2 linked regions of the Cricetulus griseus genome follow. The protein of the gene in region 2 purifies or fractionates together with the protein of the main gene of each other region. This does not show direct contact. Links are inferred from orthologs where the notes say so. Each region holds a gene or a part of one and is shown on either strand. Other genes may lie near its edges.

Region 1 (4,392 bases), on a different chromosome or scaffold from region 2:
AAAGGAACAAGAATTTGAAGTTTTAGTAGGTAGTGGAGACAAATTAATTAAGGTAAGGTGAGAGAAAAGAATAAAGATAGCCTCCCCAACAATAATGTTGTCTACGAATAGCTAAGCTGCCTTACTGATAAAGATACCCTATAAAATTTCTCTTACAAATTTAACATTCTCTTTACAAAAAATGTTCCCTTATATTTTATTTTGGGTAGTGGAAGGGAGCTGAAACTCGTGTGTTGGATGGATCTCCATTTCTTTTAGTTTAAAAATAATCAACACGCAGAGGGACACATTTTTAGCGTGGCACTTTCTAGGCTCTTACATATTTTGAGCCGACGTGTCCTGAGCCCCAGACATCAAAACGAATCAAAGTCATGATTAAGATAAATTTCTTAAAACCCCTAGGTGAGTCTCACTATTATGCATATACTGTAAAAACGCTTTACAACCCAGCAAAAATGATTGTTTTTAAAACGCTGCATTTTCCAATCTTCCAGGCACTTTAATTGTTCTCAGACAGATGGTTAAAGCTCGGCTACCGCACCCCGCATATGCTAGGATAAAACCCGACTGGAGCGCCAAGAAAAAGATAATTGGCTGTGGGCCCGAGAAGTTACACGGTTCCCCTAGCAAGAGCTGGGAAACCGCTGAATGTTCAGGTTTTGAAATACGGTTTTTGCATCGTAAAGAAAAAAGACTAACCTATCAGGAAGAACCGAGCACATCCAATTACCAATCAAGAGCGGGAAAGAAGCCAAAGCCGGAGATACCCATGCACCCACGAGGACGTCATTCTTCAGCCTCTGCCAATAAGCCGCGGCCAGGGGCGGGGCAACGGGAGGATCAATTGCCCAAGAAAACAAACAATGTGTAGTACAACTGTCGAAACCCCGGTCCTCGGCTCCGGATGCCCCGGAATGAGCTCCGGCACTAGGCGCTCGTGAGGTGCTTCCAGCTCCCTTCGCCCAGGGACAGCCAGAGCCGGTTATCTCCTTTCCAGCAGAGCAAAGGCTTCCCTCCCACAAGCTCCCACGGGCTTGCAGAAAGCTCGCTGCAACTTCGCGCTATAGTTTACGGGAACAGCGAGTCGCGGGCTACCTGAGGGGGTGGGGCGGAGACTGTGCGCAGGCGTTTTTGCCTTGTGGAGGCGTGGCCGAAATGGCCCAAGGAACCCTGGGAACTGTATTCCTTACCTCCGAGGAACTAGCACGGTTCCCGAGGCCTGTTAAACCACATTTCCCAGGATCCCCCGCCACCTCGGGGCGGGCCGCTTGGCTTGTTAATGAGTTCGAGAAAGCCGCGGCGCGGCCCACCAGGTTCCAAAACAAGGAAATGAAGGGGGGAGGCGGGACTGTGGGTGCCTGCGGGAGCCTCCGCCGCCGCCGCGGAGGAGGAGGAGGCGGAGGAGGTGGCTGCCTCGGCCGCCGAGGAGTCCCTTGCTGAAGGCGGACTGCGGAGCGGCGGGCGGCGCGCGCGCGCCCGAGCGGCGGCTGTTGGAGAAGTGGAGCGGCGGCGGCGGAGGGACTGAGTGGCGGCGGCCCCCGCGTCCCGGTTTCTCTATGGGGGAAGCAGACAATGGATTATGATTTCAAGGCGAAGCTGGCGGCGGAGCGGGAGCGGGTGGAGGATCTGTTTGAGTACGAAGGGTGCAAAGTGGGACGCGGCACCTATGGGCACGTCTACAAGGCGAGGCGGAAAGATGGGTAAGAGCGCGGGCGGGGGAGTGGGCTCGTCCGGTCCCCGCCGCTGGGAGACCCGCAGGGCTGGGTGGGTCGGAGCCCACGGGGCGAGGTGGCGTGGGTCGCGGAGCGGCGTCCCGGGGGCGAGCCGGAGGCACTCGTGCTGCCGCCCCCCGCTGGCCGGTCGCGCCCCTCCAAGTCGCTCGGCGCAGCCCCGTCGGGGGGCGTCGGTCCCGCCGCGAGTCGCCGCTGCGTGCTTACAGCGGGCGACGACCTGGTGGAGACCGCGCCTGGAGGTGGAGTTTGGAGGTCTGGTCCCCGGGGACTCGGAGAGGTCTGGGAGGGCTTGGCTGAAGAGTTACCGCTATGGCCCTGTGCTGGTGACGGTCGTGGAAGAACTTCCCAATCGGCGCAGCGCCTTCCCGGGGCGGCGGTTTGAAAGCTCGCGGGGGCGCCGCCCGTGTGGCGGCAGCGCGCTGAGGGTCCTGGCGGGCCCCTGGGGTCTGACTCTGGATGCTGCCAACCCAGTCTGCATCCCTGATTGCTCACCTGCTCCCGATTCCACATGCTAACATTCTGAGTTTAGCACTCTGAAGGTGGACCCTGGAGAGATTAAATGTTAGTGTTCTTTGGTGCCTACCTTTTCTTCCTCTTGGCTATCTTGGGTACCGCCTACCCCCCCCCCCTTTTTTTTTTTTAAGACAGGGTCTCTGCTCTCCTGGCTGGCCTGGAACTCAGAGATCCGCCTGCCTCTGCCTCTCAGGTACTGTGATTAAGGACATGTGCTACCCCCCTTTTTTTTCTTCAGGAAGAAATATTGAGTATTATATCCTCCATTTCCCATCCTCTTGTCAAATGGCTGCGTGCTTTGGTTGTGTTTATCGAAAACCTAGACCATCAAGAACAGAAAACGGAGTGACAGACCCAGGCCTGAACCACCGGTTCTTAGGAGTTGAGGGAATTTATAGGAATCTCTTGGGGAGCATTATTTGATTGTTATATTAATAATAATGCATCGAGAATGTCTTCTTTGGGCCAGAGCAGGACGGATGGAACCCGCTTCTGGCCTAGGAATGGTGGGTTTTAAAGCCGGTTGTTTCCTTGGTCCCATCCTGGAAGGAATTCCTTTTTGCTAGGTTCTGGAACTTGGAAAGAAAGTCTCCAACCGACCCTAAGGAGTGTCAGACTATACAAAAGAGAGTTTTTAGGATCGTGTTGGAGCATTTTTGATAAGCAGATTGTCACCACACTTTAGATTTGAAGTGCTACTTAGGGTTCCTTCTTGCACTGCTGTAATTTGATTGGCTGGGTGACGGAACTCCAGCATCAAAGTAGTATGTGCTGATTTTATTGTAAGAGGAAAAACAAAACACATCGTGTGAAGTGTTTCATATACAGTGCTCTGAAAATTACAAGAACTGTCCAGGTTTCAAGGATGATGATTACTGTTGTAGGTACAACTGTAGAGGTCAAGTTACTCAGTTGAAGGAGTTGTTTCTTTTAATTACCATGTGTCCTTGAGGGCTCTCCTGGGGCTATAGGTGCTGTAATCGAGTTGTGCTTTGTTTTTGGAGTATCCACAGTACTTTTTAAATTGGTATTCCAGTGGGAGTCTTTACAGGGATGATTGGGGAAAGCAAATCCATTGCTACTATTGGACATTGTTGTTATAAAATAACCGAGGTGGATCCCCTCTCTCCCCAAGCTAACTTTGTAGTACACTTCATCTAGAATTTAAAAAAAAAAGTTTTAAATTTGAAATATTTTTATTTTGCCTGGAAACTGAGAGAAGTTAAAAATAATTCTGCTTCTGAATTGAATTGAATGGCTGGGCTTGCAACAAAACATAGTGCCTTGTTCTGTTTGTTTCCCAGTGTGTCTCTCTAATAAAGATCTTGATTCAAATACACTTTTTCCTTGAGTGAAACTGGTAAATTAGAGTAAATAAAATAAAGTCAACTTTTGTATTTTCAAAGTAGATTTTAAAAACAACAGCAACCCCCCCCCCCAAAAAAAAAAACCCCAAAAACCAAAAAAACAAAATCCATTTAGAGCCAGAGGCAGAGGCAGGCTGATCTCTCTGAGTTTGAAGTCAACTGGGTCTACAATTCCAGGACAGCTAGGGCAACACAGAGAAACCTTGTCTTGAGAAACAAAACCAAACAACAAAAACTCAAAACCAAACAGACAACCTCCCCAACCCCAAAACCAAAGAAAACCCCGCTTAGAATATGGGTTGCACGCCACATAAACTGGCCTTGATTTAATCCCAACATTTAGGAAGTGGAGCCAGGCAGACCAGAGGTTCAAGGCCATACTTGGCTATACACAAGTTCCAGCCAGTCTGGGGTATGTGAGGCCCTGTCTCAAAAAAAGTGGAACATAAAAGTTTATAGTGACAAGTCTGAGGCAATATTTTTTCTAGTTAGGAATACTTATAATAAAGGAATATTGTTAAAAATTTCTTTTCATTAAAAGGGTCAAGAAATCCTGATTCCATAGCATAGGATTATGTGTGAAAACTTGCCTAATGTGAGTTGGATTTCTAAGACTAACTAAAAACAAAAAGTTCCTTTTTTAATTCATGTTTCTAAAAGGCACTTAATTCAGGGGTTCTCAACCTTCCTAATGCTGCCACCCTTTAATACAGTTTTTCATTTTGTTGTGACCTCCAACCATAAAATTATTTTTGTTGCTACTTCGTAACTATAGTTTT
Region 2 (4,446 bases):
GGTGGTACTTGTCTCTTGTCTCTCAATATAATCTTTGATGAAGTAGTATTTAAGAGCCGCTTCCGCCCCCCCAAAAGAAAAAAAAAATAGCATATGCTTCCCTGGGTTAATAAATAATCATAAAAATAATATACTTTTGAAAAACATGCCAGATAAAGTTACATTTCTAGAACCGCCCACAGTGTCACACAAAAGAGATCAGAGCAGAACAGACTCAAAGGTAAGTTACACTTGGCTTCAAAAGTATTACATAACTATGAGAATGCTTCCAGATTCCATTTTTCTTAGGTCAATGAAAATGCCTTCCCTGGGTACAAAGTGACTGTGAGAAATTAAGGAAGGAAGCTGGGTGGTGGAAGAAGAAAGTTATTCAAAGTTTAAATCTTCCATAATATACATGGATACTTTACGTAAAGTAAAACAATCATGGTGAAATAAAACACTGAAACCATTCTTACTGCTTCACACTAATAAGGCTGTGTAAACTGTATACACACTAACACCATAATTTGTAATACCAATAACATTTTGGGGAAAATGTACAATGTTGCTAAGTCAGATTTAAAAAATAATAAATTGCTTTCACCTGATAAGTCATGGTGAATAAGGTCAGCAAAATTGGGATCTTTACCCCACCAAAATATCCACAATTCTCTTCTTCCAGGTCTTTGATCTCGACGCCAAACACCAAGAACATCTGCCTTAAGGCATCGACTAAAACTGCTCAAAATGGGGTCTTCTTCTGTCACCGGAAACAGAATAGGGGCAGAAGTTGGGCCTTGCCATACGTATCTTTTCCACTTAATTCCTGTCAGGTCGGCCTGAAGAAAAGAAAACATGATTTCTATATTATTGTACATTCACTTAAGTAAAAAAAAAAAAAAAAAATCATTATAAAGTACCTGATTTCATTAAAACATCACTATTTTCAATGCATGCCTAAGACATTTAAAGACTATGACCAAAATAACAAACATCATGCAAATAATTCTAATACTTCAACCAGCAAGAACTTAAGGAAAAGAACACACAACAGTTTTAAAAAACAGTAATAACAATATCACTGAATAGCACATCTATAATAAATACAACAACATATCCAGAATTTAATAAATGAGACAATGATGTTAAACATGCATTCCAGTACTGCACAGTATGTCTATCTTTCCTCTGCCCTACATTCTTTTCTAACTGGTCAGTCACATTTGTTCCTTGGTGAACTGAAAATTAAAGACCCTCATTCAAGTTTGTAAGAAGTCAAGGCTCTAACAAGACATCTGAACAATTTTCTAAACGGAAAAAAAAAAAAAGCCTGTTAATTCTTCACAAGCACACATCTTTAGGAAAAGAACTACTTCCAAAGAGCTGTCAGATTTGTGCTAATCTATCTTCAAAGAACCAAAGTGCCAAAAATAGATCCAGTTGGGAAAGACAGAAATGTTAAACCTGCTGTATGCTGTACATCTTACTACATGTGAAGATGCTGATTACTGGACACTGTCAAGAAATATTCCACCACGTAGAAGTTCGTTAAAGATCCCCATTTACCATTGCGAAGGAAATTCAACAAAGGAAATTCAGCAAGTCTTTATTCTAACTTAGCGACAGAAAGCATAAGGTGCCAAAAATGAAACTGCTGATACATGACTGGCAGTTTACGCTTGCCAACTAGTTATGCTCCACCCACTTAATTCACTTAACTATGATAGACTTAATATTTCTCATCGCACAGGAAAAAAAAATGAAAAAGTCACTCCAACATAAAGTCATTGACGAAACTCAGCTATCGCCTAATTAAGGACTAGATATTTGCAACAGTTGGTACTTTTGAGAGAAGTCTTAAAAACTATTGGCTATTACCCGACTGGGGCCAACCTACACAGTACAACATTCCTACATCCAGCGTCCCCAGACTTTTCAGTTCAATAAAAGGAGCAGCCAGCGCAAAACATTCTTTAAACGTAAGCAAAACAGACAAACATAGAACGTTTAGTGCGAAACCACAGTACCTCCTCCATTAGCCCCTCCACTCTCACAAAAACATAATGTTCTAATAAAAGCAAGATGGCTAGAAATTGTCAAAATGGCAAAATGTTTTCAAAGTTTAAAAAGAAAACATATGAACGCCGTTTGTACGCAAAGATCTGAAGTCACCCATAAGAAACTACCGCTGTGTTAGCTTAACTTATAAAACGAAGAGAGGGGCTTTAATACGTAAGTTTTTTGGGGGGGTCCTGTTTAAGGGAAGTCCAATTAGCAGGGAAAAGCATAAAGGGAGTGAAGGAGGGACAATCATGGAAAAGTGTGAAAAAGGGATAGATACACTGTTCGATACGGGGTGGGGGGGGTGGGGTGGTAAGTAAGAAGCACTCAAGAAAATATTACTGTCCGGCCAGATAAGAAACCCAAGTTAAGGACAAGACTACGATGGAGGGAAAAAAGCGTCCAAAACAAGACAGGAGAAGGGGAAAGACAAGACTCTTCCAAGCAGAGTCCTGGCCGGTAGGTAGGTGAGCGGACGCTGTCTCCCGGGGCGGCCGCAGAGCCTCGCAGGAGGCCGACTCCGGCGGGGCCTAGCCGGGGGACACCGGCATCTGGATGAGACCCGTACCCCCTCCCCCACGGCCCAAGGGCGCCCGGCGCGGCCCCCTCCCCCACCGCCCGCAGCCCCCGCACTCACCAGGCAGAAGAGGTTACAGTGACAATCTTCCAGGCTGGCCCCGTTCGACACGAAGGAGGAACTCATCGTCCCTCACAGCAGCCGCCGCCGGCGCCACAACCCACCATCCGCCATTACCGCCGCCTCCGACCAGAGAGAGAAACACAGACACCGGGGAGGGCGGGGGGCGGTGGGGAGGAGGCCGCCGGGCCGCCCGCCCTCCCCGCCGCCCCCCGGCCCCGGGCACCCAGCCGCCGGGCCGAGGCCGCAGGCGGGGCCGCGCCGCGCCGCGCTCGGCCGGCCGGCCGCCGGACTGCGGAGCTCGCGGACGCGCGTCCCTCTCCGGAGAGGAGGGGAAGGGATGTGTGCCCCTTCCACCGGGAAAAAAAAAAAAAAGGTTAAAAAGCAAAAAAACAAAAAACAAAAAAAAATTATCAGTTACACGATAAATAGTCAAGAGCCCGAGTCCGAGCGGGCCGAGCCCTGAAGCCCGGGAGGGTTCTCCCCGGCCCGGGGGCGCCCGCGGAGGGGCGGGAAGGGCGAGGACCGGCGGAGCAGCCCGGGCCCCCGGCCCGGCAGGAGCGATGTCCTTAAGCCCAGAGTCTCCTCGGCGGCGGAGGTGGTGGCGGCGTCTGAGGGCTCAGTCCATTCTCCGGCTGCGTCCTCGTGTTGTCCCTGGGCCAAGCCTGCCTAACGTCTGCTCTCCTGCCGCCTCACCGCCTGTACGCCGTAGTCTCCCCCATTTTGTGGGCCCAGCGGGCGGTGTTTTTCCCCCTTTAATCCGAATTCACGGGTTTTCCCTTCGCTTTAATGGCGGCCACAGGGACCAGCTCGCCCTCTCTGCTCGCCCATTGGCCGCCGTGAGGTCACGTGGGCCCGGGCTCCGTGGGGAGGGGGAGAGAGAAGGCAGTGAGGGAGAGCAGAGAAGCTTTCGGAGCCCCGGGGACCGGGCAGCCAGCTGGTGGCTACTAAGATGGCGCCATCTGCTGGATGCCCCGGTTAAGATGACCCGGGCCTTGGCCCTAGCTTTCTCCTGGCTGGAGAATGTGCAGTACAGGAAGGTTCACTTCAAAACCAACGAGAATTACTTGGAAATCAGTTCGAATTCTTTGGAAGAGAAAGTTGGCAACAACAACAACAACAAAAAATTCCAATGCATTCTCATTTATTCCATAAGGCCTCCAGGGTACAGCTCAAAACTCTTGGACTTGAGAATCAGAGCTGGATGGAGATCAGCCTCAGCCGCCCTTTATAAGAGTTATAATAACGAGGTAAAAGTGAAACAATATAGCCTTGTGGCTAGTAAACTGGGGATAAAGTCATGCTGTACAGGATTTGAAGCTGGAGCCTCTTTGAGACTCAGTTTCCTGATCTGTAAAATGAGAGAAACAAGCCTCATATTGGCGATATGATGCATTAATGCAACCAGAGTTCTAATTCAGTGCCTGGCGCAGATGAGTGCGGTAAAGCCATACACTTTTATATTGCCATCATTACTTTATATGGTTATTTTGAGGAGCAAATGAACTCTAAGAGTAAGAATCATGATAATTGGTACTTTCTTTCTAGCTGTCCATTGCCTTAAAAGGTTCCTAGCACACAGTAGGCACTTGATATTTGAAAACTTACAAATGAATGGGAAGAAGAACCACATATGATGTTAATTCCATCCCCCAAACAATCATTCTGGGCTGGCTTACTCTTCAGTGTAAGAATTCAAAAAAATTTCCTTGAGAGCTTTAAAATGATTATAGGAAGGAAGGAGGGAGGGAGGGAGAAAGGGAGGG

What was found.
Region 1: the proteins of Med13 (region 2) and Cdk19 purify together in Homo sapiens (affinity purification with mass spectrometry; 6 studies listed by BioGRID and IntAct, counting the BioPlex papers as one, with this or other methods). This does not show direct contact. The link is inferred for Cricetulus griseus from reciprocal best matches to the Homo sapiens genes MED13 and CDK19.

The regions. Positions count from the first base shown.
Region 1 is NC_048595.1:262,901,028-262,905,419, forward strand, and holds the start of Cdk19 (cyclin-dependent kinase 19), read left to right. Parts: upstream 1-1,319; 5' UTR 1,320-1,572; coding exon 1,573-1,700; intron 1,701-4,392.
Region 2 is NC_048600.1:99,606,539-99,610,984, forward strand, and holds the start of Med13 (mediator of RNA polymerase II transcription subunit 13), read right to left. Parts: upstream 2,871-4,446; 5' UTR 2,747-2,870; coding exon 2,681-2,746; intron 822-2,680; coding exon 587-821; intron 1-586. UniProt on the Homo sapiens protein: Component of the Mediator complex, a coactivator involved in the regulated transcription of nearly all RNA polymerase II-dependent genes.